Oryctolagus cuniculus: one gene and its partners. The protein of the gene in region 6 binds, or shares a complex with, the protein of the main gene of each other region. Links are inferred from orthologs where the notes say so. Each region holds a gene or a part of one and is shown on either strand. Other genes may lie near its edges.

Evidence for each region.
Region 1: the proteins of SFN (region 6) and MLXIPL are in contact, whole or in part, in a crystal structure (PDB 8BTQ), measured with the Homo sapiens proteins. The link is inferred for Oryctolagus cuniculus from reciprocal best matches to the Homo sapiens genes SFN and MLXIPL. Residues at the interface, in NP_006133.1 of Homo sapiens: Gly53, Arg56, Ala57, Arg60, Gln67, Arg129, Val178, Tyr181, Glu182, Lys214, Thr217, Leu218, Gln221, Leu222, Arg224, Asp225, Asn226, Leu229, Trp230; in NP_116569.1 of Homo sapiens: Arg117, Ile120, Arg121, Asn124, Trp127, Arg128, Ala129, Trp130, Tyr131, Ile132, Tyr134.
Region 2: the proteins of SFN (region 6) and PADI6 are in contact, whole or in part, in a crystal structure (PDB 4DAT), measured with the Homo sapiens proteins. The link is inferred for Oryctolagus cuniculus from reciprocal best matches to the Homo sapiens genes SFN and PADI6. Residues at the interface, in NP_006133.1 of Homo sapiens: Lys49, Arg56, Arg60, Lys122, Arg129, Tyr130, Gly171, Leu174, Asn175, Val178, Tyr181, Glu182, Leu222, Asp225, Asn226, Leu229, Trp230; in NP_997304.3 of Homo sapiens: Phe443, Tyr444, Pro445, Ser446, Ala447, Glu448.
Region 3: the proteins of SFN (region 6) and ESRRG are in contact, whole or in part, in a crystal structure (PDB 8BJG), measured with the Homo sapiens proteins. The link is inferred for Oryctolagus cuniculus from reciprocal best matches to the Homo sapiens genes SFN and ESRRG. Residues at the interface, in NP_006133.1 of Homo sapiens: Asn42, Ser45, Val46, Lys49, Arg56, Arg60, Arg129, Tyr130, Glu133, Gly171, Leu174, Asn175, Val178, Glu182, Leu222, Asp225, Asn226, Leu229, Trp230; in NP_001429.2 of Homo sapiens: Arg175, Arg176, Arg177, Lys178, Ser179, Cys180, Gln181, Ala182.
Region 4: the proteins of SFN (region 6) and SOS1 are in contact, whole or in part, in a crystal structure (PDB 6Y44), measured with the Homo sapiens proteins. The link is inferred for Oryctolagus cuniculus from reciprocal best matches to the Homo sapiens genes SFN and SOS1. Residues at the interface, in NP_006133.1 of Homo sapiens: Glu14, Asn42, Ser45, Val46, Lys49, Arg56, Phe119, Lys122, Arg129, Tyr130, Pro167, Ile168, Gly171, Leu174, Asn175, Val178, Glu182, Leu218, Ile219, Leu222, Asp225, Asn226, Leu229, Trp230; in NP_005624.2 of Homo sapiens: Arg1158, Pro1159, Glu1160, Ser1161, Ala1162, Pro1163, Ala1164, Glu1165, Ser1166.
Region 5: the proteins of SFN (region 6) and KCNK9 are in contact, whole or in part, in a crystal structure (PDB 3P1P), measured with the Homo sapiens proteins. The link is inferred for Oryctolagus cuniculus from reciprocal best matches to the Homo sapiens genes SFN and KCNK9. Residues at the interface, in NP_006133.1 of Homo sapiens: Lys49, Arg56, Arg60, Lys122, Asp126, Arg129, Tyr130, Glu133, Gly171, Leu174, Asn175, Val178, Glu182, Leu222, Asp225, Asn226, Leu229, Trp230; in NP_001269463.1 of Homo sapiens: Lys369, Arg370, Arg371, Lys372, Ser373, Val374.
Region 7: the proteins of SFN (region 6) and LRRK2 are in contact, whole or in part, in a crystal structure (PDB 5MYC), measured with the Homo sapiens proteins. The link is inferred for Oryctolagus cuniculus from reciprocal best matches to the Homo sapiens genes SFN and LRRK2. Residues at the interface, in NP_006133.1 of Homo sapiens: Lys11, Glu14, Glu39, Asn42, Leu43, Ser45, Val46, Lys49, Asn50, Arg56, Arg60, Phe119, Lys122, Arg129, Tyr130, Pro167, Ile168, Gly171, Leu174, Asn175, Val178, Tyr181, Glu182, Asp215, Leu218, Ile219, Leu222, Asp225, Asn226, Leu229; in NP_940980.4 of Homo sapiens: Lys907, Ser908, Asn909, Ser910, Ile911, Ser912, Val913, Gly914, Glu915, Phe916, Tyr917, Arg918.

What each region holds. Positions count from the first base shown.
Region 1 is NC_091450.1:50,437,612-50,441,684, forward strand, and holds the start of MLXIPL (carbohydrate-responsive element-binding protein), read left to right. Parts: upstream 1-1,273; 5' UTR 1,274-1,349; coding exon 1,350-1,642; intron 1,643-1,850; exon of another isoform or gene 1,851-2,608; intron 2,609-4,073. UniProt on the Homo sapiens protein: Binds DNA as a heterodimer with MLX/TCFL4 and activates transcription. Binds to the canonical E box sequence 5'-CACGTG-3'. Plays a role in transcriptional activation of glycolytic target genes. Involved in glucose-responsive gene regulation.
Region 2 is NC_091438.1:152,861,203-152,864,702, forward strand, and holds part of PADI6 (protein-arginine deiminase type-6), read right to left. Parts: intron 3,022-3,500; coding exon 2,910-3,021; intron 1,474-2,909; coding exon 1,366-1,473; intron 1,167-1,365; coding exon 1,012-1,166; intron 510-1,011; coding exon 353-509; intron 234-352; coding exon 110-233; intron 1-109. UniProt on the Homo sapiens protein: Structural constituent of cytoplasmic lattices, which plays a key role in early embryonic development. Cytoplasmic lattices consist in fibrous structures found in the cytoplasm of oocytes and preimplantation embryos.
Region 3 is NC_091444.1:30,751,155-30,754,654, reverse strand, and holds part of ESRRG (estrogen-related receptor gamma), read left to right. Parts: intron 1-1,108; coding exon 1,109-1,378; intron 1,379-3,500. UniProt on the Homo sapiens protein: Orphan receptor that acts as a transcription activator in the absence of bound ligand. Binds specifically to an estrogen response element and activates reporter genes controlled by estrogen response elements.
Region 4 is NC_091433.1:163,753,187-163,757,368, forward strand, and holds the start of SOS1 (son of sevenless homolog 1), read left to right. Parts: upstream 1-1,382; 5' UTR 1,383-2,000; coding exon 2,001-2,087; intron 2,088-4,182.
Region 5 is NC_091437.1:164,934,677-164,938,176, reverse strand, and holds part of KCNK9 (potassium channel subfamily K member 9), read left to right. Parts: intron 1-1,147; coding exon 1,148-1,971; 3' UTR 1,972-3,500. UniProt on the Homo sapiens protein: K(+) channel that conducts voltage-dependent outward rectifying currents upon membrane depolarization. Voltage sensing is coupled to K(+) electrochemical gradient in an 'ion flux gating' mode where outward but not inward ion flow opens the gate.
Region 6 is NC_091438.1:144,640,943-144,643,833, forward strand, and holds SFN (14-3-3 protein sigma), read right to left. Parts: upstream 1,486-2,891; 5' UTR 1,383-1,485; coding exon 636-1,382; 3' UTR 501-635; downstream 1-500. UniProt on the Homo sapiens protein: Adapter protein implicated in the regulation of a large spectrum of both general and specialized signaling pathways. Binds to a large number of partners, usually by recognition of a phosphoserine or phosphothreonine motif.
Region 7 is NC_091440.1:131,827,533-131,831,032, forward strand, and holds part of LRRK2 (leucine-rich repeat serine/threonine-protein kinase 2), read left to right. Parts: intron 1-721; coding exon 722-939; intron 940-3,500. UniProt on the Homo sapiens protein: Serine/threonine-protein kinase which phosphorylates a broad range of proteins involved in multiple processes such as neuronal plasticity, innate immunity, autophagy, and vesicle trafficking.

The DNA of each region.
Region 1 (4,073 bases), on a different chromosome or scaffold from region 6:
CACACCTTAGGTTGTTTTGCTTCCAATCACACAGATGGGGCTTATCTTCCCAGTGCAGAAGCCTTCAGAGGTGTGATCTGGGCTGAGGCTGGGAGAAACAAAGTGCAGGTGTGGGCGGACAGGCAGCTGACAGTGACGGGCGAAAGAGGGGAGCTGGGTGGGGGAGAGGAGGCACCCCGCTCACTGGAGAGGGGAGTGTCTCTGGGACCTGTCTCTACCAGGGACACTGGTAGAGAGGCTTTGAACCAAGGATGGCAAAAGCTGCAGGAATTTGGCATCCAGTTTTACAGTGAGACAGACATTCCCCCCTTCCCCGGGGGGCCTTTTGTGGTGGAGCCAGTGGCAGAGCGACATGGGGAAGCCCCCACCCCTCACAGCTACTGATCTGTTCCTCTTAGCATTGTGCCCCTTCTCTGAGTGAGTGCCCTGGGCTGGGGTTCAGATCTTAGGATACAGGAGGCCTGCCTCAGGGCCCATGGCAAGGAATGACCCTGCTGGAGCCAGCAGCCACAAAAGGTGGCTCAGGGGTGGCTCTTAGAAACCTGGCACAGCCCCTCTAGAGGAGGGGAACGCCATGGGCCCTGGTGGCCTCCTCAGCGTTGGCAGGAGGGGGCTGGGAGAACGTGGGTCTCCCGCGGGGGCTCCTGGGAATGTGAGGTGACTCCGAGCAGAGCCTTGGGTCGCCTTTCACTCCCTCAGCCAGTTCCTGGGGCCCTCCGGGGGAGGTCCTTGGTGATCCTGGGGGCGGTGTTGACCCCACCAAGAGCTGGGTGTGTGCTGGGACTTTTCCCGAGACTCCTCATAGGCCCCCTCCCCACCCGCTTCGCGGGGCCCTCACTGGACGGTGCACAGAGCACACCACCCGCAAAGCCAAGGCCGGTTCACATCGGCCTCCAGCCCTCTCCGGTTCCCACTGGGGTCGGGCCTGGCTGCGAATTCTGGAATCTTCTATAACTAGTCTTTGGGAATGTTTGTGCCTCTGAGCCCCACCTGGAGGCACGAACCACATGTACAGAGCCGCTGGCGGGCCCAGGTGTGAGGGTCCACCCTTCAGGACACCTCTTCATCAAGACCCCGAGGGGTCAGCCAAGGGCAAAGGCGGGAGGCGGAGATTCGGAAAGACCTGCGAGCTCCAGGTAGCGTAGATCTCACCTGGCGTACGAAGTAAGTTAGGACGAGCCCCGCCCACCCTCCGGCGCGCCGGGGCGGGGCTCCGAGCCACGCCCACCAGGGCGGCCTATCGTCGTGTGGGGGCGTGGCTATGCTAATGAGGCCGGGAGAGCTGAGCGAGCCGCTGCTGCCGCTCCGCCCGAGCCCCGGCGAGGCGACCGCGGACCGCGGCGGTGGCCATGGCCCGGGCGCTGGCAGGTCTGGCCGCGGACTTACAGGTCCCGCGGGCCGCGCCCAGCCCGGACTCGGACTCGGACACCGACTCGGAGGATCCGAGTCCGCGGCGCAGCGCGGGAGGCCCGCTGCGCTCGCAGGTCATCCACAGCGGACACTTCATGGTGTCGTCGCCGCACAGCGACTCGCTGACCCGGCGGCGCGACCAGGAGGGGCCCGTCGGACTTTCCGACTTCGGGCCGCGCAGCATCGACCCCACACTCACTCGCCTCTTCGAATGCTTGAGCCTGGCGTACAGGTGAGGGCCGCTCCGGAGAGCCCCGCGCCCAGCTCAGGCCCAGCCCCCGGCTGCACCCCGAGACTCCAGTCACACTCCGGGCACCTTCTTTCCCCGGACCCGGGTGTCCCCTGACCCCGCTTCAGCCTACGCACCCCCCCCCCCATGGGACCTGTGCACCCCAGGCTTCCATTCAGGCCGCCGTTACCTCTTGCTCGGGCGCACGCACCTGCCTTCCGCCTCGACCTCCGCAGGCCCACGACGCGCTCCTCTCCCCGCTCCAGACAAACGCCAGGCATCGCTGGCGCTCCCAGAAGCTTGGGCCACCCCCGCCGGTGCCCGCCCTCCTCCTGGGACCACCATTTGGGCACCTGTCGATACCCCGAATGGCGCCCGTGGTGGCCGCAGTGCACAGCCCCTATGTCCGACGCCGACCCAGACTCTCGTCCATCGCGTCCCCAGCGCCCGGACCCCTCCTTCTTGACCTGCTAGGTCACGGGTGGCGGGAGGAGAGCGCCTGCCCCAGGCGGGCCAGAGAGGCTGTGCACGCCGAGGTCCCGCAGGAGGCGCGCGGGTCGGGTGCTGGGGGAGGCCTGGGCTTCCCCGCACCAGTCTGAGCGCCTCCCGTGGCCTGGGGTCCCTGCCGGCCGCTCCCCAGGACTTCTGCTCCACGCCCTGCGCCCCTCCGGAGGGCGCGAACCAGGGTCCTGGCCCAGAGCCCTGGAGCAAAGTTCCTCGGAGCTGAGGGACCAGGATAAATTATCAACCGAAGACCTTAGGGAAGCGAGGGGGGATCGGCGGGCCTTGATCTTTCCTCTGCAAATAGCCCTCTTCCTCCGCGGCGCCTCCTCCCCTTCTGAGAACCGCTGGCTACCGAGGGGCGCGGACCACGGAGGAGCAATGCCTGCCCCTGGCCGCATTGGCCCAGCCCAGACCCCATTGGCTGGAGGCGACGTAACCTTGGCCCACACGTTCTGGCCCCGGGCCCAGGTCATGTTGCAACCTGATAGTCCAGGACGCCAGACCTATGTGGAAAGTTCAAATTCCCGTCCCTTTCCCCCTCCCCTCCCTCCTCCCCGGACATCACGGGACTGCTTGGGACAGGGCATCTGAGGTCCCGGCACTAGGGATGAGCCCTTCTCCCCACACTCCCACCCACTGCCCCCACTTCATCTTCCTGCTTTGCAGTGCTATGCACCTGCTCTGCTGGGACTGGCACACCTGTGTCCCACCCCAGGCCAAAGGGTGATCAAAAAGGGGAGGGTGGGGGAGGGGGTGAGACAAGCCCCAGTGCACCCCAGAACTGCCACCCCTGAGTCACCAGCAGGAGGATGGAGCCAGGGGCAGCTGGAGTGGGCAGAGACTGTGTGTTTTCCCACTCAGAACATTCAACCTCTGGTCTTCCCCAGGGTGCAGACCCCAGCATCAGGGAGGGGAGTGGCTCAGTCTCGGAGGGGCCTTTGGATTCCCTGCCCCCACTTGGCGGAGGGAAAATGATGAAACTCAGACTGGGTCAGTGTTTAAGCCCTCAAAGCACGCCCCCCCCCCCCCAGTTATAGGGGTTTCCCTGGAACAAGAGATGGCAGAAGTCCAGTGTCCCGTGTGGGACAAAAAGTCCAGGAGGTGGTGGGAGGTGCTCTGGCCTGCAGAGGTGGCCGCCTTTGACCTCCCGCGGGGCAGTGTGGGCAGAGGCAGGACTTTCCAGGAGGCTGTGTTCCACGGCCTGCGTGGGCGGACGCCCGGGGGCTGGGTTGTAGGGGGGAGTTCTGGGCGCTCCAAGGAAGCACTTGTTCATGGTCAGAGCTGACTGCCCAATGCAGACACGGACCTCAGGCTGTCGGCAGGGGCGGGGCGGGGGGTGGTGGAGCAAGCAGGAAAGGAGACCCTACCAGGTATCGAGGGCGGGGAGGGGTGCGGTACCTGAACCAGAAGTCCCTACGCTTTTTCCCTCAAGGGTCTCCAATTTTTTGAGCCATCCCAAGAAGGTCCTTGCATTGGTTCTAAGCTTCTGGCTCCAGGCCTCTCCTCCCCCCCCCCCTAGCCTGTCTCCCCTGTCTCCTGTTGAGACAGATGGTGTTTATCTAACTCCAGGGGGGAAGGGGCTGGGGCGCTGGGCTTACCACTGCATTTGGGCAATGAGCCCTATCATGCCCTCCCCACCGCTGCTACCCCAAAGCAAACACAGGAGCTTGGAGACCAGAGAGGAGAAGGGACCAATGACTCACATGCCCAGGGGACAGTGGGAGAAGGGGCCGAGGAGTCAGACTGGCACCCCCACCCCTTGACCCCCCAGCATGGGAGACGGGCCCCTGGACACAGCGGGCCTGGCTTCCCCTGGCACTGGGGCCTCGGTGTTTCCCACTGAGCAAGGGGTGGAGGCGGGCACAGGGGACTCGCGCACTGCCCTGGCTCACAGCCCCTGAAGAAGGAGGGAGGGAGAGCCGGGCCGACT
Region 2 (3,500 bases), about 8.2 Mb from region 6:
GCTGCCCTGGGCTCCTGCTACCAAGCAGGACCGAGGAGAGCATGACCGTCTACAGGGACCCCCACAGAAGGGACCTGGCCCTTCCCCCCCGGAGGGACCCCTTGCTCACCATTAGAGAGGAGCTGGTCCCCTCTAACACCCTCAAATAGCACCGCATCCCCGTAGCCTTCCTTCTGCTTCTCCTTGAAGAGGTTGTAGCAGGAGCTGGGGCTGGCCAGGAGCAGCAGGAAGCCCTAGGGGACAAACACCGAGGGTCAGAGGTCAGGTCCCTTCGCCCCTAGAAGATTCTGGAAGTCCCCAGCAGAAGGTGCGGGCGACATGGCAGATGTGCCCTCCAGCTGCCCACGCACACCTTCTTGCTCCTACTCTTGTCGTCCGTGGGGACGAAACACATGAACTCGTCCACGTGGCCCGACATCAGCCAGTCCGAGAAGAGTTCCACGGGCGCCTGGACCTGCTGGGCATAGAGGAAGTCCCGGAGGCTCTTGCTCATGGCCCGGCCCTCCACGCTGGAAGGAAATGGAAGAGCCGTGATCCAGCAGGGTCCCGGTCAGCTGCCTGCCTACTGCAGAGGGTCAGGCTGCCACCTGGGGCCCGGCTGCCCTGACCTTTGGGTAGAAGTGGCCGGTCAAGGGCTGGTTGGCCAAGAATCCCTTTCTCGGACCCAAATCAAGACTGAGCCTAGTGATCCCTGACAGACAGGCCCACAAGACCCAGGCGTCTCCTGGTCTTAGACCTACAGTCATGGTGAAGGTCAACCACGCATGTTATAGACACACCACCTGCAGGGGGCGCTAGGACCAGCCGAAGTCCCATAACCAAAGAAACTTTAGTCTCCTGCATGGATTAGACTAAGGAGCCCTCCTATCTCACGGGGTAAGAGACGCCCCAGAGCAAACCCCCTGCTGAGCTTCACGGGGGGGGGGGGGTTGGGGGAGGGGGAATAGGGTGGAGCCAGGTGAACCCCAGGGTCCTCCCCCGCAGTTTGAGGGGTCTGGCCCCTTGCCTCACCTGGGGTAGAAGCTGCTGCCAATGAGGACCCTGCCGAGGGGGTACTCCTTCTCCTGCACCTGGACGGGCGGGGACACCATCAGGTTCCCGATGGAATCCATACTGGCCACCCTGTGGTCCTCGGTGTGCTGGATCACGTAGCCAACGCCAGGGCTCTGGAAGGAGACCCGGCCCTGAGGAAGGAGGGAGGGAGGGGCCGGAAGCCCCCACCTGCCACCTAATGCCGACTCCCAGGGAGCACCCCACCCCCACCACAGGGCACCCGCACCCTCTCCCTCGGGGCCCATCACTCTGGCCAGGCACCAGGCCGATGAGGTCGGACCACACCCGGATCAGCCCAACCGAGCCCCACACCAGCGAGTATTTCATGGGGAAGTCTTCCAGCTTGGTGGCCCTGGGGGTGTCGAGGATCAAGGAAACCGTCTTGTGCGGAGCCTGGGTGTAGCAGAAGGCCATCTCGTCCTGGGGGAGGAGAGAGAACGGACAGTGAGGTCCCCTCACCCCAGCCGCCTTCCTGCCCGGGTCCGGCCCGCCAGCCGCACAGCTGCCCAGGAAGGGGAGCGACGAGAACCCCCACTTCCCGCCAGCTCCTGCTCGGCCCTCCAAACCCAGCTTCTCAGAGGCCTCCTCTGGACCCTTCCGTAAGCAGGTTCCTTCTCTCCATGTCTGCGCCCAGTGTGCCAACGTCTCGCTGGCTTTATCTCAAAAATACCCACGCCAAGTCAACTCATCCCGGGTGCCGCCCGAGAAGTCACTGCCAGGCCTTCCAACCGAACTTCTGTTCTTGCCCGCTTCCGAGATCCACTCCCTACCCCTGAGCCAGAGGGGTCTGTTAAAAAGTTAAGTCACAGAGCCGATGCTGTGGCGTAGTGGGTAAAACCCCTGCCTGCAGCGCCAGCATCCCATATGGGCGCCAGTTCGAGTCCTGGCTGCTCCACTTCCGATCCAGCTCTCTGCTGTGGCCTGGGAAAGCAGTGGAAGATGGCCCAAGTGCTTGGGCCCTGCACCCGCGTGGGAGACCTGGAAGAAGTTCTTAGCTTAAGATCGGCTTAGCCCCAGCTGTTACGGCCATTTGGGGGAGTGAACCAGCCATGGAAGAAGTCAGTCTGTCTCTACCTCTCTAACTTTCAGATAAACAAAACTTTAAAGAAAAAAATTAAGTCACGACCTCTCCCTCCCCTGGCTCATACCTTTCTGTGTCGCCCTGATTTGCTGTGGATTTCTAGTCCTTACCTGGCCTTACAACGTCCCTAGTGCTCAACGTAGCACTGCCTGCCCCTCCTTCTGGGACCCGGCCACACTGGCCCTTCCAGGCCCGGAATCCCCTGGTAGACGCCCACATCACCATCCAAGTCAGCCTCTGCTCCGCCCCCTCCCCACCCCTGCCCCAATCCCGGCAGGAAGACCCCCCACCCATCCTCACTTCACTGAAGGTTTCCCCGACGCCCCACCCTGCCCAGCTGGCTCGAGTCACTCACACATGCCCCTAACCCTAACCCTAACCCCACCCCCCCAGCCTTAGACCGCTAACCTCACACAGCAGGTGCGGAACCTGTCCCCCTCTTCTCACGTGCGCTCAGCACACAATTGCACGAGTATTTGTGAAGACAGGACAACACCCCAGACCCCAAGGCTAGGCTGGGCTCTAGCCCTCCCGCTGTGCCGGGGTCAGGCACGACCCCGCAGCGGTGGCCGGGTCCTGGCAGCCCAGAGCTGCAGGCATCAGGACCAGGGCCCTTCCAGATCGGGCAGGAGGGTGGAGTCCATTTTCATCCCTTGTGGCTATGGCTCAGGCGAGTCCTTCCCCCCCTCCCCCCCTGTGGCACTCAGGTTTGCGCGAGAGCCCCATGTATAGGACGCGTCCGGTCCCCCGGCCCCCGCCCACAGGTGGGTGTTACCTGGAGCCACCTGCCCAGGCGGTTGGGGTCCTCGTAGACAGAGGCCAGCTGGCTGTTGCTCTTCTCGCTCAGCTCGGTCACCATGTTCACAAAACCCTGGAGCTGCAGCTCTCTGCCCAGAGAGAGGAGTTGGCCGTGACCGCCACGTCCCGGGGTGGGGGGGGCACTTCCTGACCCCCAGCTCAGAGCCTGTTGTCCAGCGCCACTCCACTCAGTTGAAGAAATGCCAGCGACAGCCCCTGCCCTGGCCGCCCGGCACCTTCAGTCACTCTGCACCTGCGCTGTGACCCGTGGCCCAGCTCTGCTGTGTCAGCGGACCCAAAGGTACTGGCTCCTCTTCCGTCCTCATGGGTGGTATCCCGCCCCCCCCTCTGAGCAGCCAAGCAGCTGGGGTTCCTGGAGGTGGCCAGCAGAGGGCGTGTTTGCACACAGCCAGCGGCAGGCATGGGCTCAGGGATCTCAGCACCCCCTCCCCCCACAGCACCAGGCTGGGGCTCAGAACAGATATCCTGGGGCCAGCGCTCTGGCGCAGTGGGTTAAAGCCCAGGCCTGCAGCGCCGGCATCCCATATGGGGTCATGGCCCGCCTTGC
Region 3 (3,500 bases), on a different chromosome or scaffold from region 6:
GCTCAAGATGAAACCTGCAGTAGCTGAGTGGAGCCAACATTTACAATTAAGAGACCACTTCACTCATATCCTTTCTACCAAACCCCATTGCCTCTATGTCTAACTTTTTAAATAATAGAATCTTACTGTGACCTTTCAATTTGTTACAGAGGCCAAGTGGCTAAGTTTTCCACTTTCTTTTATCTCAATAAACACCATTTTAAAAGGATTTCAGGGCACATGTTTGGGAGAGCCGTTAAGATACCACTTGGGATGCCCACATCCCATATTGGGGCCTGGGTTTGAGTCCTGGTTCTGTTCCCAATTCCAGCTTCCTACAAATGTGCACCATGGGAGGCAGCAGATGATGGCCCCCGTGGTTGGGACCCTGTCACCTAAAGGGGAGATTTATTCTGATTTCCAGACTCCTGGCTCTGGCTTGGCTGAGACCTCGCCGTTGCATGCCGTTGGGGAATGCACCCGTGGGTGGAAGGTCTTTAAGAGTCTGCTTGTCCGTCTGTATATATTTCTCTCTCTCTGCACTTCAAATAAAATAGAAAAGTAAATAATTTTTTTAAAAAAAGAAACTCATGTTAAATATCCGTGAGGACAAAATATCTAGTTAAGAAATTTGATCTGGTTGAAAGTCATCATCCTCTGTGACTATTAGAGAGAAACGTTTCCAAGATGTACTGTATTGTGTGGGCTAAATTGTTTTTATTTGGGGGCTTTTTTATTTTTGCTTATTTGTTGTTTATCACTGGTAGTTTGTAGGGATGAGGTAGTGTAAATATGACTTCCTCTCACACATTTCTAGAGCATACAGCCCGAAACCACGCATACTTAAAGATGACATTGTATTTTCTTCTCAGATGGAAGAAAGATAACCACGTCTCCATTCTATCTATATAGCCATGTCTACAAAACCTATAGAAAAGGCCAACAGATTGAAACTGGTTTTCGGCTTTTACTTCACATGGGTAAAGTGACCAGGGGAAAGTTTTTCAGAGCTTTTGATGAAAGCTGTGCATCACCGTGGGCTCCGATGTGGAGCCCAATGCCATAGGAGATTAACTTTGCATTGTGAAGCGGTCTTTCAGTAACTTGGTCTGCCTCTCTTCCCATACAGGCTTCTCCACCCTGTCCCTGGCGGACCAGATGAGCCTTCTGCAGAGTGCGTGGATGGAAATTTTGATCCTTGGTGTCGTATACCGATCTCTATCGTTTGAAGATGAACTTGTCTATGCAGATGATTATATAATGGACGAAGACCAGTCCAAATTAGCAGGCCTTCTTGACCTCAATAATGCTATTCTGCAGCTGGTAAAGAAATACAAGAGCATGAAGCTGGAGAAAGAAGAATTTGTCACCCTCAAAGCTATAGCTCTTGCTAATTCAGGTTGGCATATTGACATGATTGTTGGTGCATTTTTTAATATGTCAGTTTTTACCCCTTCCCTTAACTTCTTCAGGGATTTGCTAGACCTAGTTTGTAAATTGTGTGTGAGTCAGCAAAATTATAATCAGTGTAGCTTTCTAGTGAAAAGTTTGAAATAAGAAAAGTACACTTACAAGAAATAATTTTCAGTTTTCTCGCTGATTGAAAGCTGTGAAACTTTTACCATCCAATGCATTTATTAATTTGGATCTCAGCGAAGCACAAGCTCATGTGCAAGTAGCATAAATGGACCCTTTAGGGATAACATTTTCTTGTCTTTTGTGCTCAAGTCAAAATAAGTGAAGTAGAGCTATGCATTAACCTCTTTTTTTCTCCTGGAAAATGAAAACTTTGCTACTGGGAAGCTATATTTAGTGTTGTTTTCAATTTTGATAATCAAAAGGCGCAGTTCCCCTAACATTCTGGATGGAATTCTCTAGAAGTCAAATTCTGCTGAAGGAGCATTTTCCTGAAAGGCCCTACCTGTGCAGGAGAGGTTAAGAATTATGGGAATAAGTGTTCTTTCCATCCGCACTGAAATGTGCTACAATAGGAAGCAACCTCCAATAAGTAAAAATCGTTGGTGCTTTGTTGTTTTTCCCTTTGTGCCTCTCCTACTGCTTTATTGTGGTCTTAAGTCTCTCTCAGCATTTGCATAAAGTTCAGGATAGATCCCTCTTTAATGACGTGCCGATCATTAGATACCTGCGTGTCAATAGCACGCTCTGATGCTATGTACCATTGACAGTCACACCGTGCCCCTCCATCTGCTTTTGTTTTGACCCTATCTTTGAACTTTATCTTGGTTGCCGGCCAGTAGTTTTCCCTTTAATTACAAGAAGGAAACTGTCAATAAAATCTGTTAAATGGGATGCAATGAGTGGCTTGAATGGGCGGACGGCTATTTGTTCAAATTCTGCAGCATTCAAGGTATTGACAGTTTGTTTTCTGGGGCCATATGTGACGATCAATCTCAGGCTGGGCTCAGCCGCGCTGAAAAATGAAAAACCAGATTGCTTTTGCTTACTTGTGGATGACGACTTTGTGATTTGGCGCGGTCCTAGTGAGATGAGACCTTCTGCCCAAATTGCCCCCATGAGAGCCAGGGGCGCGTGACTGTTTTTAGAAATAATTTTTAATTGATTTTGTAATTAACAGTTCATCTACAATATTGATGCATGAATCCTTGGACTGATAGGAGGGAAATTGTTTTCAACAATGAAGTTGTACTTTCCTATTTGTCTTCATAATAGAGTTTAGCGTTTCACAGTTTTAATTGTGAATATAGCCCTCTTCCTCACCATGCAGTCACTCTTCCCCTCCCACTTCATGTGAAACTGAAAAATATGATTCTTTGGGACAAATGGCATTGTTGTTATAAACCCTCAAGAACCCCTTGCTCTATTCTCTAGAAGATCAAAGTGGGAACTGGGATTGAAATTTCCTGAGCGTTTACAAGTTTGTAGGAACTTCATGTTACAGCATCTCTCCCAATTAGATGGAAGGTTTTTACAGCAGTGTTTTGGGGATGAATTTTTATGAAGTGATTCCAATTTCAAACACTTACTTTAAAAAATTACATTGAAACATTTACTAGGATAATTGTTTTTGAAATAGACTGAACATGGTTTTATAACTTTTGTTTCAAATTGCTTTCATACATTAGCAGTTGATCATAAATGCTGAGCAATGCTGAAACTGTCATCAAAATTGCTGAAACTTTGTAAACATTGTAATTCTAGATGTTAGATGTATGCTTTATGGCTAGGTAGTGTACAGGACCTCAACGAGTAGCAACATTTGTGTCTCTGTGGCTTAGAGGTATAATCACTAATATATATTTTTAAAAATTTATGTATTTGAAAGTCAGAGAGAGAGAATGAGAGAGAGAAAGATTGAGATTGAGATTCTATCTTCCAATTTATTCCTCAAATGCCCACAGTAGCCAAAACTGGGCTAGGTTGAAGCTGGGAGCCAGGGATTCAGTCAAGATCTCCTATGTGGGTGTCAGGGACCCAAGTACTTGAGCCATCACCTGATGCCTCCCAGAGTGTATATTAGCAGGAGTTGGAATCAGAAATGG
Region 4 (4,182 bases), on a different chromosome or scaffold from region 6:
CTGGACTGGAAGAGGAGCAACCGGGACAGAACCGGCGCCCCAACCGGGACTAGAACCCGGTGTACCCGCGCTGCAGGCGGAGGATTAGCCTAGTGAGCCGCGGCGCTGGCCTGAAATGTATTCTAAGAGCAACGAAGAGCCAAGGAATAGTTGGCAGCAGACCACCAGTGTAGGCTCACTCCTTTAGAACCACACAAAGCCTTTTCACCTATATCAGCCCTGTAGGTAGTGGAAGGGGTCTAACACGTTCTCCACTGAGACGCCCCCAACTCGACTCCAAACAATGTAGGTTCTCCTCTTCCAGAGGACTGACTGACGGGTTTCAAAATGTCACTGAACACTTCTGAAAGTGTAAATCAGGCATGCCCATTTTTAAAAGGAAAAAGCCCAAGACTTGATTCAGATTCTCAGAGAAGTTCTGTAAAGATTAAGATGCACCGCTTAAACATTTCTCAGCTTTGGGATCCTGGCTATTGTTCCATGGACCAGCAGGACACAAATGCCAGCTCAACCCAGGCTAGTCCTCTGCACTGTCTTCTCTGTGAAATGAAAACATGATTGCTGTGAGGGCTCAGGGAGCGATACTTTAGTGTTTAATGAAAACCACGAGGTGTCTACCCAACAGTGGTATTGGAAACCAACATCTGCAGCCCTGGAACCGAGGGACAAATTTATACACTGCACCTTTAGCATTCCACAAGCATTCCCTGGAGAAAAAGATCTGCCTTGCAGGCGTTCACGATCTAACCAAAATGCCGGGGAAGATAGAAAACGCAAAACAGACCAAGTGAGGTTCTCTGGAACCTGGGAACCGCGTATGATGTCCCACTTTCCAGGGCAGGGAAGCACTGACTGGAGTTGGTTGTCTGATGTGGGTTTGCGCAGGCTGAACCTGAACACCCATTCTACCCTTGCTGTGGAAAGGCCGGCTGGAAACATCGCAGTCGCTTCTGCCACCTGACAAATACTGAGCAGAGGGAAACCTATCTTTGTGCAGTCTGTTTACTATACGTTGCACGCTCCGAGCAGCCCTTATCCTCATGGTCGGGAACAAAGTACACACACAGACCCAGACACACACACACACCCCTTTCCGAAACCAAGGCCCGGGGACTCCAAGAGAGGGGTGGGATCCCTCGCGGCGCGGCCACACAATGGGGGCCGTCTCAGCACAGCTCGCCTCCCACCCCCACCCGCAGGCCCCATTCGGCCAGGGTTCGACTTCTCGGGCCCCACCGCCCCTCCCCTGCAGCCCCCGGGAGCGCAGCCACAGCCGGGCCCGGCGCCCTCCCTCGCCCTCCCTCCTTCACCGGGAGCCGGAAAACCCGGAGGGAACCGGCCCAGCCCGGCGGCGCATGCTCAGTAGCGCGCAGGTTCAGTTCGCTAGTAGGAAGCTCCAGCGCTGCACCGGCGGCGGCGGCGGCGGCGGCGGCCGCGGTGCAACCCGGCGGCCGGAACCCCAGCGGCGACTTCGGGCCCTTCCTCGCCCCCGAGCTCCCTCCCGCTCTAAGACTCTAGCGTGTCGAAGTCCTCGCTGGGCGAGCGGGCGCCGCGGCAGGAGCGCCCCTCCACACGCCCTCCCCCTGCCGCCAGCTCCTCGGCCGGGCAGGCCGGGCCCGGAGCGGAGCGTAGCCCCGGCAGCGGGCGGGCGGGCGGCGGCCGCGGCGGAGGGCAGCTCGGGGCGGCGCCGGCGGGCCGGGGAGGGGCGGGGGGCCTGGCCCCAGGGCGGTGGTGCGGCCGGGATGCCGCCGCCGCCGCCGCCACCTCCGGGCCGTGTTCGCTCTCCGCGGCTGGTGCCGGTGTCGGGCGGGTGGCCGCGCGCGGGCCTCGTCCCGCAGCCGCCTCTCCGGGGCTAGCCCGGCCGTGCGGCGCCCCGAGGGGGCCGGGCCGTCCGGAGGGGCCGCGGCCCTGTTCCGCGCTGCGAGCTCGCCCTCTCGCGGCTTCCCGGCCGGGCCGTCGCCGCCGCCCCTCTCCCCGCCCAGAGGCGCCCCGGGGGCACCATGCAGGCGCAGCAGCTGCCGTACGAGTTTTTCAGCGAGGAGAACGCGCCCAAGTGGCGGGGGCTGCTGGTGCCTGCGCTGAAGAAGGTGAGGAGCGCGGGGAACCCCGCTGCCCGGCCGCAGCCCCCGAGGCGGGCGCCGGGTCGGAGCCCGGCCGGGGAGGCGGGGCGCGCGCGGGCAGGGCCGCCTTTCTTCCCGGTCCCTCCGCAGCCGGCGGGCGCTCGGCGGGGACGTGCCCCGGTGTGTGGGAAGGCAGGCCGCGGGGAGAGGGTCGGAGACAGCAGTCGGGGGAGCCCCGGGGTTCAGCGGAGGTCAGCGCAGGCCACCCCTCCTCCTGGCCGGTCTCTTTGCCGAGCTGCTGTCAGCCTCCCGGTTGAAGTGTCCGGGACGCTCCTTTCACTGGCCCGATAACGCTCTGGCCATCATGTTTGCTGCGAGCTTGCCTGCCGGCGGCAGCATGGCCTGCTTTGCTCCCTCTGCGTTCTCCTGGGCACCCCCTCCGATTAACGAGGAGCTGCTACACATGCCAGTATTTTCAGACTTATTATTTTTTGACGGTTGAAAATCTTGGTGATGTCATTTGGGTTAGAATTTTTAACCTCTGTTTTGTATGTTTACGTTGGCCACATTGTTATCTAAAGTTATATAGGAAATGTTGCTACATTTTGTTTGTAAAGCAACGTTGTGACAAACACTGCACGTTAAAAACATCAGAAACTGGTGTGTGAGTTTAAAAACAACTGGACTGTTTTCGTTTCCTTTTCTTCATTTCTTCCTTTTCTGGTGGGGTGGCTTTATGCTTTCAACTGTGTGTCTAAATCCCAGTTTCTTGTTGCCCAAAGAATGTTTCATGAGATCTGGTTAAAATACAGCTTTGCTCCTCCTGAGGGCTGGGGTTATGGTTAGTCTTTCATGGTAAACATTTCCACTTGAACACAGTGTCTTAAAAGGTGTCTGAGTTTATCCAAGGCCAGAAGCTTTTACTTTCTTTTTTTGCCCTGGTCTCCCCCTCCCCCTTTTGCAGTCTTACAGTGGAACCTACTTAGTTAGCAAAATCTGCTCATATATTAAGGATTGAACTACCAACTTTTCCCCCTCAAATGTTTGGCTAGTCATTAACATCTCTTTGGTGTTTTCTAATAAAGTGTGTTTTGTGTGTGTGTGTGTGTGTGTGTTATCGGTATACTTCATTCATTAGAACTCCTACCAGGTTCTCCATCTGTTTAGTTGTGCTTTGCCTGCAAGTGTGTCTTCTTGTGATAGAAGGGGAGTAGGAGGTCACAGTGGTGCTAGAAGCTGGTGTTCCATCAGGGTAGAGGAAAATAAAACAGTTGTCTGAAAACATACCCAAAAAGCCTCATGAAGCATTACTCACTTGGGGTCATTTTGCTTAGAAGCTTACAGGTCCCATCCCAGGGGAACCACCGGTCTGTGGGTTGAGGATCCTTGGAAGTAGTGCAAAGAATGGCATTAGAATTGGCAGACTCACTGTCTGCCACGTGGGGGGCCCTGCTGGGATCTGTCCTCAGAAGAGTTTTGTTTGGCTGGCACAGTGTTGTTTATTGTTAAGTGTTTACACATGGGAGATATTACACAAAATCTGAATTCACAGCTTTTGTTGAAGAAAAATCTCTCCACTCAGGTCCCACGTGAAAAGCCAGCCAGTGACCTGCTGCGGGTGCATGGATAGCTGCCGTCTTTAGACAGGTGCACATTGGCGTTTACAAAGTCCTCAGCAGTCCCCTTTGCTTGTTTACATAAAACAATGCTTAGGTGTTTATTGACTTGAAAGTTTGGGCAGTGGAGAGAGAGGGAGAGTGAGAGAGAACACCTTGCTCTCCTCTGCTGGCTAACTTTCCCAGTGCTCATAATGGCGAGGACTGAAGCTGGGAGTTGGGAGCTCCAGGTTTCCCATGTGGGTGACAGGAACCCGATTACTTGAGCCGTCACAACTGCCTCTTGGAGTCCATATTAGCAAAAGCTGGAATCAGAAGCCAGGGCCTGATATTGAACCCAAACTCTGGCTTAGCAGCTAGGCCAAACGCCCACCTCTACACAAAGGGGCTTTTGACTCTAACAGAGTTGCCCTTGGAATAGAAATGATGGGAGGAGGTAGAAGTGTACAGTCTGACTGATAAATGTATCTTCCAATTCTTATCCAACTGTCTACCAGCAGGGAGTC
Region 5 (3,500 bases), on a different chromosome or scaffold from region 6:
AGGTGGCCCTGTCCACGCTCCAGCGTCAGGGCTGTGGGGCTCCCAAGGGGCCCCAGCTTGGTGCCAGCTGGGAGACGGGGATCAAGGGCCATGGAGACCAACATGGGCTGTCTCCTCTCCCGCGAGGAGCTGGCCTGTGTACACGCCGGGGGCGTGGGCAGTGGGCTTCCTGCTGAGAGCCGTGGGGGCTGTGAGGTTCCTGCTGTGTCCCGAGCCCGGCCTGGGTGGCCTTGGCTCTCAGCGCACCGCACCTGAAGCTCTTACCCTCTTTGGGTGGGGGAGGCCCCGGTGGGTGGAGCTCGCTCAGCAGCTCAGGGTCTCGGAAGAGAAGCCCACCCTGGCGGGCAACCGCCCGCAGCCCCGACTTACCCTCTGAAGTATCAGAGCGAGCGCGGCCGGCTCCGGCTTTTGCTGGGTGGTGTTCCTCCGGCCAGGCCATAGTGCTCGGCCCCAGGCTCTGGGTGACCCGGGCCCGCGGCATCCGTCTGCAGCTCGGCCACCATCCTCCTCAATGGCTGGGCGTGTCTATCCCGGGTCACAGGGGCAGGTCCCCTCCTGGCTGCCGGGGCCTCAGCAGACACAGAAGAACAGCCCCCTCTCCGGGCCTTTCTTGGGGCTCAGAGCGCCCCCTGCTGGCCGCCTCCTCGGCTGCGGGGGGGGGGTGGCGGCCTTGCCCACGGGAACCTGCTGGGTGTCCTTGCCAAGGTGGACGCCCTGGTGCAGGCCCCAGAGCCCGGCTCACCGCAGGCATCGTCCAAGGAGCATGTTCTGTGTGTCCGGCTGCGGTGGGCATTTTTAATTTCTCTCCTGGGTTTTGGGTCTCTGGTAGTTATCTTAGTGGTGTTGCTCCAAGACCCCCGAAAGGCCCCACCATGTGGTGCGCTTGGCGCCCACGCGTTTCCCGAGTGACGCCCAGAACCAGTCTCCCATGCACTTTCTCATGGTGGAACTTTCCACTTGGGATTCTGGAACGTTCCCGATTTCTGAATTTGGGGTGATCCGCCCGTGCCCCCTTCCCACTCTGACCCTGTGATCCCCCCAAAAAATTGCCAATCCCCCTTGTCCTTCTCTTCCCACCCCTCCCTCCCAGACCCCAGGGGCTGGCCTCTGACCGCTCTCCCCACTCTTCTCCCCCCTCCCCCCGCAGGCTATGGCCACGCGGCACCCGGCACAGACGCGGGCAAGGCCTTCTGCATGTTCTACGCGGTGCTGGGCATCCCGCTGACGCTGGTCATGTTCCAGAGCCTGGGCGAGCGCATGAACACCTTCGTCCGCTACCTGCTGAAACGCATCAAGAAGGGCTGTGGTATGCGCAACACGGAGGTCTCCATGGAGAACATGGTGACCGTGGGCTTCTTCTCCTGCATGGGCACGCTGTGCATCGGCGCGGCCGCCTTCTCCCAGTGCGAGGACTGGAGCTTCTTCCACGCCTACTACTACTGCTTCATCACGCTCACCACCATCGGCTTCGGGGACTACGTGGCGCTGCAGAGCAAGGGTGCCTTGCAGAAGAAGCCGCTGTACGTGGCCTTCAGCTTCATGTACATCCTGGTGGGGCTCACGGTCATCGGAGCCTTCCTCAACCTGGTCGTGCTCAGGTTCCTGACCATGAACAGTGAGGACGAGCGGCGCGACGCCGAAGACCGGGCGTCGCTGACCGGCAACCACCACAGCCTGGTCATCCACGTCCCCGACGAGCCGCGGCCAGGCCGTGCCCGCGCCAAGGGCGAGGGCACCGAACTGCAGTCCGTGTGCGCCTGCTCGTGCTACCGCTCGGTGGCCACGCACCAGAACTCCTTCGGTGCCAAGCTCGCACCCCAGAACTTGCAGTCCATCTCGTACAGGATGGAGGAGATCTCCCCGAGCACCTTGAAGAACAGCCTGTTCCCATCACCCATCAGCTCCATCTCCCCTGGGGTGCACAGCTTCTCCGAGCACCACCGGCTGATGCGGCGCCGGAGGTCCGTCTAAGGTGCGGGGCGGGCGCCAGCACGGCCGCGTCCCCTGTGTCAGAGTCGACGTAAGTTCCATCGGCCCCGACTCGTCTTTCCCTATTTATTTGTGATTTACCCTTTGTCGTGCCGGCCATCTGTCATCGCCTTCTCTCTCTCTCCTCTTCTCGGCTTTATTTCTTCCCTACCTTTCCAGCCAGGCAGAACAGGCCCAGGGGAAAACCAAGGCCCCTCCTCCTCCGAAACCCGCACCCAAGCACGCAGGCATGGGTCGTCCTTTCCCGCAGAGTATGCCTTATACGCCCCCTGCCCCTTCCCCACCTGAGGCCACTGGCCCGGTCCCAGGGTGAGATGGAGCCCACGCAGACAGAGCTAAGAGGATTTTAAACCCAAAGCTACAAGCCCAGCCAAGAGCCTGCTGTCGCCCGCCCCAAGTGGCGTCTCTGCCCAGCGCCTCTCTCTCTCCTTCCCCCAAGGACTGGGGGGTGTTTGTGTGTGTGGTGGGGGGGCACGCTCAGATGGTGCAAGTGTGTGTCACGGGATGAGACGGAAAGTTCCAGAATTTCTTCATCTCTCCCTCCACTCACCTGGTTTCATAGCCTACCTTTGGCTGCTCCCAAACCAACACGGCACAAGCAGAACCCACGGGGCTTTTGAGTTCTCATAGTTGCCAAACCAAGCATGCTCCGTTAAAGCCGTCTCTCCCAGACGCGTCTCGACCGTAACTTAAAAAAACGCTAGGCTCTACATTGTATTCACGGATTTTCAGGGTGGGTGGGAAGGGTGGGTGGGGATGAAGACAAAGGGTCACTTAGCTTGCCAGTTCCAACACTTACAGCATGCACTTTGTGAAACTGGTTCGCTTCACCAACATATGAGAACAGCACTTAGAGACGGTTGGACGGTCCAGAGCCAACCGTACGGAGTTATCACGGCCATTTTTCAGTTGTGTCATCTCCGGTTCCCATGCTTGGCCACACGCGCCTGGAACCCCAGGGGCTCGCATCCCTCTCATTGACGATGCTGGCGATTCGGGGCAGCTTCGTCCCGCAGGGGTAGGAAGGGCAGCTTTGGAATGCTTGGCTGAGAATGGGCATTTGGGACGTGTGAGAGACTTTCTAGAAGAGTGGCTCACATTGCATTCGATTGCTAAGTAGGGGAAAGGTCACGTTGGTCTGAGTTTTGAGGCTGGGTCTTGGCTTGCTGGGGACCTGTCAATCTCACGGGAACGCCCCCTGCGCCACTGTCAGCAGGGGGTGGTCCCAAAGGGAAGCCTGTTCCTCTCCGAGGGGCTGCATAGACTGACACTCGGGGGTCCAGCGTCTCATGTTAACCCTCAGCTTCCCCCGAGGGTGCTTTGACCTCCTGCCTCATTGCCATCTGTGCCATTTCTAAAACTCACCCATTCCCCCAACCTCCCACGCCTTTCTCGTAAGCCGGAAATCCGCGGCTCTTGGATGAAATGGGCTTTGGTTGTACTGCTCAGGAGGAGACTTTGCTGGCCGACAGGATGTCTTAAGAGGAGACAGCACCCAAATGCCACCCGCC
Region 6 (2,891 bases):
AGGCACCCGCTCCCCTAGCCCGAGGGAGGCGCCTCAGTGCTGCCTCTGCTCTCCGCCCCTCCCGGGACCAGACCAGTGTGGGGCCACCCGGAGCGGGGAGAGGCCCCCGCCTCGAACCTGGCTGCGCCCCCGCAAGGTCTCGCCCGCGGGCCGCTGGGCCAGCCGCGGGGGAAATCGGGGCCTGTGCAAAGCCCACTCCCACCCATCTCCCAGCCCAGCGCCAATAACTGCAGAAGACCGGAGGACTGAGTGTCACGGGGAGTTTATTGAGCCGAGCCGGTCACCGCCGGCAGACAGACGCTTTCCCTCTCGCTCACTCACAGTCACACGCGCACCCCAGCTCCCGCCTCTGCCGCCCGGCGCCGCGCTCAGCCGCAGGGGCAGGAGGGAGGCGAGGCGGGAGGGGAAGGGGTGCGGAGAGCAGGGTGGGGGGGCGGCCAGGGGCTGGGAGCGCCCCGCGGCTTGCAGGGAGAGCGAGACCCCCGGGCGGCCTCGGCTCAGCGGCTCCCTTCTCCAGGGAGCCTTTGGGAGCCGGGGCGGCGCAGCGAGGGGGAGAAGGGGGGCGCCTCCCACCCCGTAGTAGTCCTCTCCGCGGGGCGTCGGGGACCGGAGGGGGCAGGGCGGCGGCGGGCGGCTCAGCTCTGCGGCTCCTCGGGAGCCTCCCCGCCCTCTTCGCCGGCGTTGTCGGCTGTCCAGAGCGTCAGGTTGTCTCGCAGCAGCTGCATGATGAGGGTGCTGTCCTTGTAGGAGTCCTCGCTGAGGGTGTGCAGGTCGGCCATGGCCTCGTCGAAAGTGGTCTTGGCCAGCGTGATGGCCTCCTCGGGGCTGTTGGCGATCTCGTAGTGGAAGACAGAAAAGTTCAGGGCCAGGCCCAGGCGGATGGGGTTGGTGGGCGGCATCTCCTTCTTGCTGATGTCCATGGCCTCCTGGTAGGCGGAGCGGGCCGAGTCGATGATGCGCTTCTTGTCGTCGCCGGTGGCCACCTCGGCCAGGTAGCGGTAGTAGTCGCCCTTCATCTTGAGGTAGAAGACGCGGCTCTCGGCCTCGCCTGCCTCCTTGATGAGGTGGGAGTCCAGCAGCCCCAGCACGGCGTCGCACACGCCGCGGAGCTCCTTCTCCACCCTCTCCCGGTACTCGCGCACCTCCGGGCCCTTCTCCTCCGAGCCCTCCTCCGTGCTCTTCTGCTCGATGCTGGACAGGACCCTCCAGGCCGCCCTCTGGCCGCCCACCACGTTCTTGTAGGCCACCGAGAGCAGGTTTCGCTCTTCACAGGAGAGCTCCTCGCCCTTCTCCACCGCGCCCTTCATGAAGGCCGCCATGTCCTCGTAGCGCTCAGCCTGCTCGGCCAGCTTGGCCTTCTGGATCAGACTGGCTCTCTCCATGGCTCTGGGGACAGAGAGACGGGCGGCGGGCGAGCTGGCTGCCTGGGGACCAAGGCTGGACTCTGTGCCTCTGCTGCTCTCAACCTGCCTTTTGGCTGGGTGGCTTGGCCTAGGCAAGGGTGGGGAGGGGCGGGGGGGCGGGACTGGGGCCCAGGACCTGCCTCCCTGTCTTCTCCCCACACCCTTTCCGGCTCTTCCTTAAAGGTAAAAGGGCCGGGATGTGGGGGTGAGTCATTGGAACAGTCAGCAGGAGAAATCTGGGCGTGGGCCCCACCTGTGCGGGCACCTTGCTGGGCTCCAGGCTGCCCCCTCCTGTCCAGCACCCGCGTTAGGAAGCTGCCAGGAGGTAAGGACGGCTTCAGCCACCTGGCAGCTTCGGCTTTGGCATAGCCTGTGGGCTCAGGTGGGTGCAGGAAGATGGGGCTGCTAATCCGGCCAGGTGCACTGCCCCCCCCCTTCAGGCGAGGTAACCCAAGCGCTTCCCTAGTCCTCACTGGGTGCAGTCCCCACCGTGACTGTGAGGTGTGCAGCCCTGACGTGGTGTGGGAGCCTCTTCACTCTCAGGCTGTGAGACTTGCTCAGGGCCACACAGCTGCCAAGTCCCTGCAGCTCTCTCCTGCACCCAGCTTCCTTGGGCTTTTCTCCTATGGGCTCTGCATGCCAGGTCACCTGCCCCCTCTGACCGGGGAGCTCCAGACTTTTAGAAGTGAGGCCAGGCTTCTTCCTGAGTCTACTGGGAGACAATTCCAGCCCCAGGGCCTCAGCCATGCAGGGTCCCCTCCGAGCTCCCAAATGCTCCCAGAAGGGTGGCAGCTATCAGGGTGCTACTTAACGAAGTGTTTAACGAGCGGCCTCCGAGGCTCCAGCCGGGCCTGCGTAATTAGTCACCCAGTAGGTTCGTCGGACACCTTCCCCTTCACAGCACAATTTTCCCTTTCAAGTCGGTGGCCTGTTGCCACTTGTTGGAGGACTTCCCATGAGGCTCTCCAGGCCGGGTCAGCTGCCCCCTCCACGCCGCCTGCCATCACAGAGCAGCAGGGCTCACGAAGGGTCCCACTCTCCTTCCTGACTCAGCTTGTCCTCTGTCAGAGGCTGGGAAGCAGGCCACCTGGGTGCTCAGTCCAGTTTGGTCCCCCAGGGGGGACGCAGGCAACCCCGGGGAGAGACGGGGCCGAGGAGAAGGAGGTGGCGCTGACACACACTGTTTTATGGGGCAGCCGTGGAAGCTGAGTGACGCCTCCCCCCAGCCTGTCTCCCAGAAGTTTCCATGTCCCTTGCACTTGACCACGGCCCCAGCTCTGACCACAGCAGAGGTGTCGGAGCTGGAGACCTCCGTCGCCAACCTCTGTCCCTGCGTGTGGGGACCCAGTCCTCGAGTTTCACGTTGGCACTGAGCCAAGGAGGGTGGGTTCCTGTTTAGCTGCCCTGCCCCTAGCCAAAGCTTAGCTGGGACTCAGGGGTGCGGCTCCCGTCTGGGATTCAGCTGGGACCGTTTCACAGGCCTGTGTC
Region 7 (3,500 bases), on a different chromosome or scaffold from region 6:
CTAGTGACTCCACAGGCTACAGAAAATGAGATTTAGTTATAGGTTAAACATGGACCTCTTATACATGCCAGCAGGCATTTTTATCTTTGCTGTGAATTGTCTGAGCTGCAGGTAGTGCCTGCAGTGCCTCTCCTTTGCCTTATATTCTTGATTGTTGTTGTTTTTCATTGCACCAGCCAATTCAATTTTTTAAATTTATTATGCATTTCTGGTGCTAGACGCATGCCCTCAAATGCATTTTCTTTTCTTTCTTTCTTTTTTTTTTTTTTTGAAAGGCAGAGTGGATAGTGAAAGAGACAGAGAGAAAGGTCTTCCTTTTGCCGTTGGTTCACCCTCCAATGGCTGCCGCAGCCAGCGTGCTGCAGCCGGCACACCGCGCTGATCCGATGGCAGGAGCCAGGTACTTATCCTGGTCTCCCATGGGGTGCAGGGCCCAAGCACTTGGGCCATCCTCCACTGCACTCCCTGGCCACAGCAGAGAGCTGGCCTAGAAGAGGGGCAACTGGGACAGAATCCGGTGCCCCGACCGGGACTAGAACCCGGTGTGCCGGTGCCGCAAGGCGGAGGATTAGCCTAGTGAGCCACGGCGCCGGCCCCCCAAATGCATTTTCTGCTGAAGCTCCAGTGCCTGGAGGAGAGATTGCCACCGGGAGGTGTTCAGGACACCTTGCCCTAATGGATTCAAGCCCTTTGCTCACGTTTCTGCTGTTTCTTGATACAGGGTCGACCAAACTGCAGTCCCACGCGAGGCAGTCAGACAGCGTGTCCTCCCTGGCTTCGGAGAGGGAGTACATCACCTCCTTAGACCTATCAGCGAATGAACTCAGGGAGGTCGATGCCCTGAGCCGCAGGGGCTGCCTGAGTGGCCACTTGGAGCACCTGGAGAGGCTAGAGCTGCAGCAGAATGCACTGGTCAGCTTCCCACAGCCACTCTGCGAGGTACGCCCCCCGCCCGACTCCCAGTGCTGGAGGAGGCTTGCACGCCCCCCGCCTGACTCCCAGTGCTGGAGGAGCCCAGCACCGTCCAGTCTTCCACACCCCCCGCCCAACTCCCAGTGCTGGAGGAGCCCGGCACCATCCAGTCTTCCACGTCCCCTGCCCGACTCCCAGTGCTGGAGGAGCCCAGCACCGTCCAGTCTTCCACGCCCCCCAGCCGGACTCCCAGTGCTGGAGGAGGCTTGCACCGTCCAGTCTTCCACACCCCCAGCCGGACTCCCAATGCTGGAGGAGCCCGGCACCGTCCAGTCTTCCACGCCCCCAGCCCGACTCCCAATGCTGGAGGAGCCCGGCACCGTCAGGTCTTCCAGTCTCCTCCTGTGTCATTGCACAGGACGCCCCCTGTTCCTCTGCTGTCCACATGGGTATCAGTCTGGGTGGTGTGCAGAGACCCCTTTGAGAGCAAGCAGTGGAGACAGAGACTGGGTTAAAATGCAATTCTAGGTTCTGTCTCGGTAACACAGGGTATGTGTCAGCATCTGTCAGAGCTGCCTGCTGATGGCTCCATATAGTCGGTTTGAGTCCAGATAACTGAAGCTTTTAAAGTATTTTAGGGAGACGAGAGTTTAACCTGGTTTGGTAGTAGCTGTGTGACCATGAGAACTGCTATCTGCCTGTTTTTTTTTTTTTTTTAAATAACTCTTTTTTTATTTTTTGACAGGCAGAGTGGACAGTGAGAGAGTGAGACAGAGAGAAAGGTCTTCCTTTGCCGTTGGTTCACCCTCAATGGCCGCCGCAGCCGGCGCACCGCACTGATCCGATGGCAGGAGCCAGGAGCCAGGTGCTTTTCCTGGTCTCCCATGGGGTGCAGGGCCCAAGCACCTGGGCCATCCTCCACTGCACTCCCTGGCCATAGCAGAGAGCTGGCCTGGAAGAGGGGCAACCAGGACAGAATCCGGCGCCCCAACCGGGACTAGAACCCGGTGTGCCGGCGCCGCTAGGCGGAGGATTAGCCTAGTGAGCTGCGGCGCCGGCCAGCTATCTGCCTGTTCTGAGCCTTCATTTCCTCCACTGTAAATTGAGAGGCTCAGCTAACTGACCATGATGACTTTGTGTTTTAAAGATTTACTTATTTATTTGAAAGACTCAGTTACAGGAGAAAGGGAGCGAGAAAGAAGGAGACAGAGAGTTTGCATCTACTGGTTCACTCCCCAAATGGCCATAACAACCAGGGCTGGGCCAGGCCCTACTGAGGAGCTAGGAGCTTCATCTGGGTCTCCCATGTGGGTTCAGGGGCCCAGGGACCTAGGTCATCTTTCACTGCTTTCCCAGATATGTTAGCAGGGAACTTGACTGGAAGTCAAACAACCAGTACTGGAATGCCAATGCTGCAAGTGGTGGCTTAATGTGCTGTGACAAAACACTGGCCCTGATCATGAGGACTTTTTGGGGGGAGAGGGGTTGAAATTGTGTGTAACTTGGAGTGGGCGTTTATCCTGGAGGTTAAGATGCATGTGTGCTATGTTGGAATGCCAGGTTCAGTACCCAGCGCTAGCTCCTGACTTCAGCTTCCTGCTAACGTAGACCCTGGAAGGCAACAGTCATGGCTCAAGTGATTGGGTTGCTGCTACCCAAATAGGAGATCTTCATTGAGTTCTCAGTCCCTGCCTTCAGCCTATTTGTTGTTTGCATTTACAGCAATCAGCCAACAGATAGGAACAGTGTATGTGTGTGAATGAATAAAATAAAAAGTTATATGTAACTTAGGAATTAATTGTCTGCTCAAACTTCTAATCTTGAGAGAATTAAAGTATAGCAGTTTGTTGATAGCATAGTCCTCTGAATATGGACTTTCTCTTCTTTGTATTATGGGTCAGACGTTTTCAAAGCCAAAGATGATACGGCAAATTAAATTAATACAAACATTTAAATTACTAAGCTGATTTCTTGGATTGAATTGCAAAGTTTGTTAAAGAATAATACCAGTCTTTTTAAAATGAATCTTACTGCAAATGCATTTCTCTTTCTTCTTTTATTTTTATTTACTTATTTTTGTTTTATTTGAAAGGCAGATACAAAGAGAGAGAGACAGAAAAACAGAGTGAAGAAGGGACAGAGAGTGGGAGCGAGTGAGCCAGCTTTTATGCAGTGATTCAGTCTCCAGGGCCTGGGCCAGAGCCAAAGCCAGGAGCCAGGAACTCAGCCTGGTCTTCTCGCTGAGAATGAGGGATTCAAGTACGTGAGCCATCACCTGCTCCTTCAAGGTACACATTAGCAGGAAGCTGGAATCGGGAGTGGAGCCAGAGTTTGATCGCAGACACTCCAGTATAGGATGGAGGTTTCCCAAGGAGCAGCCACCCCACGTTTTGAGATGCTTTTAAACCAGTGTTGTGAGAGCTTTGAGTATATACCCCTGAAGCTTACATTTATCTCCACGCACGTCCAAGAGGCGTCTTTTGTCTCTCGTTCGCCTGCTTAAATCCTTCCCATTACCCAGGTCCCAGGGGAAAGTTCACTGTGTTGCCCTCTGCTTCTTTGCTCTGTCTTCCTTCCAATCAGGCCGG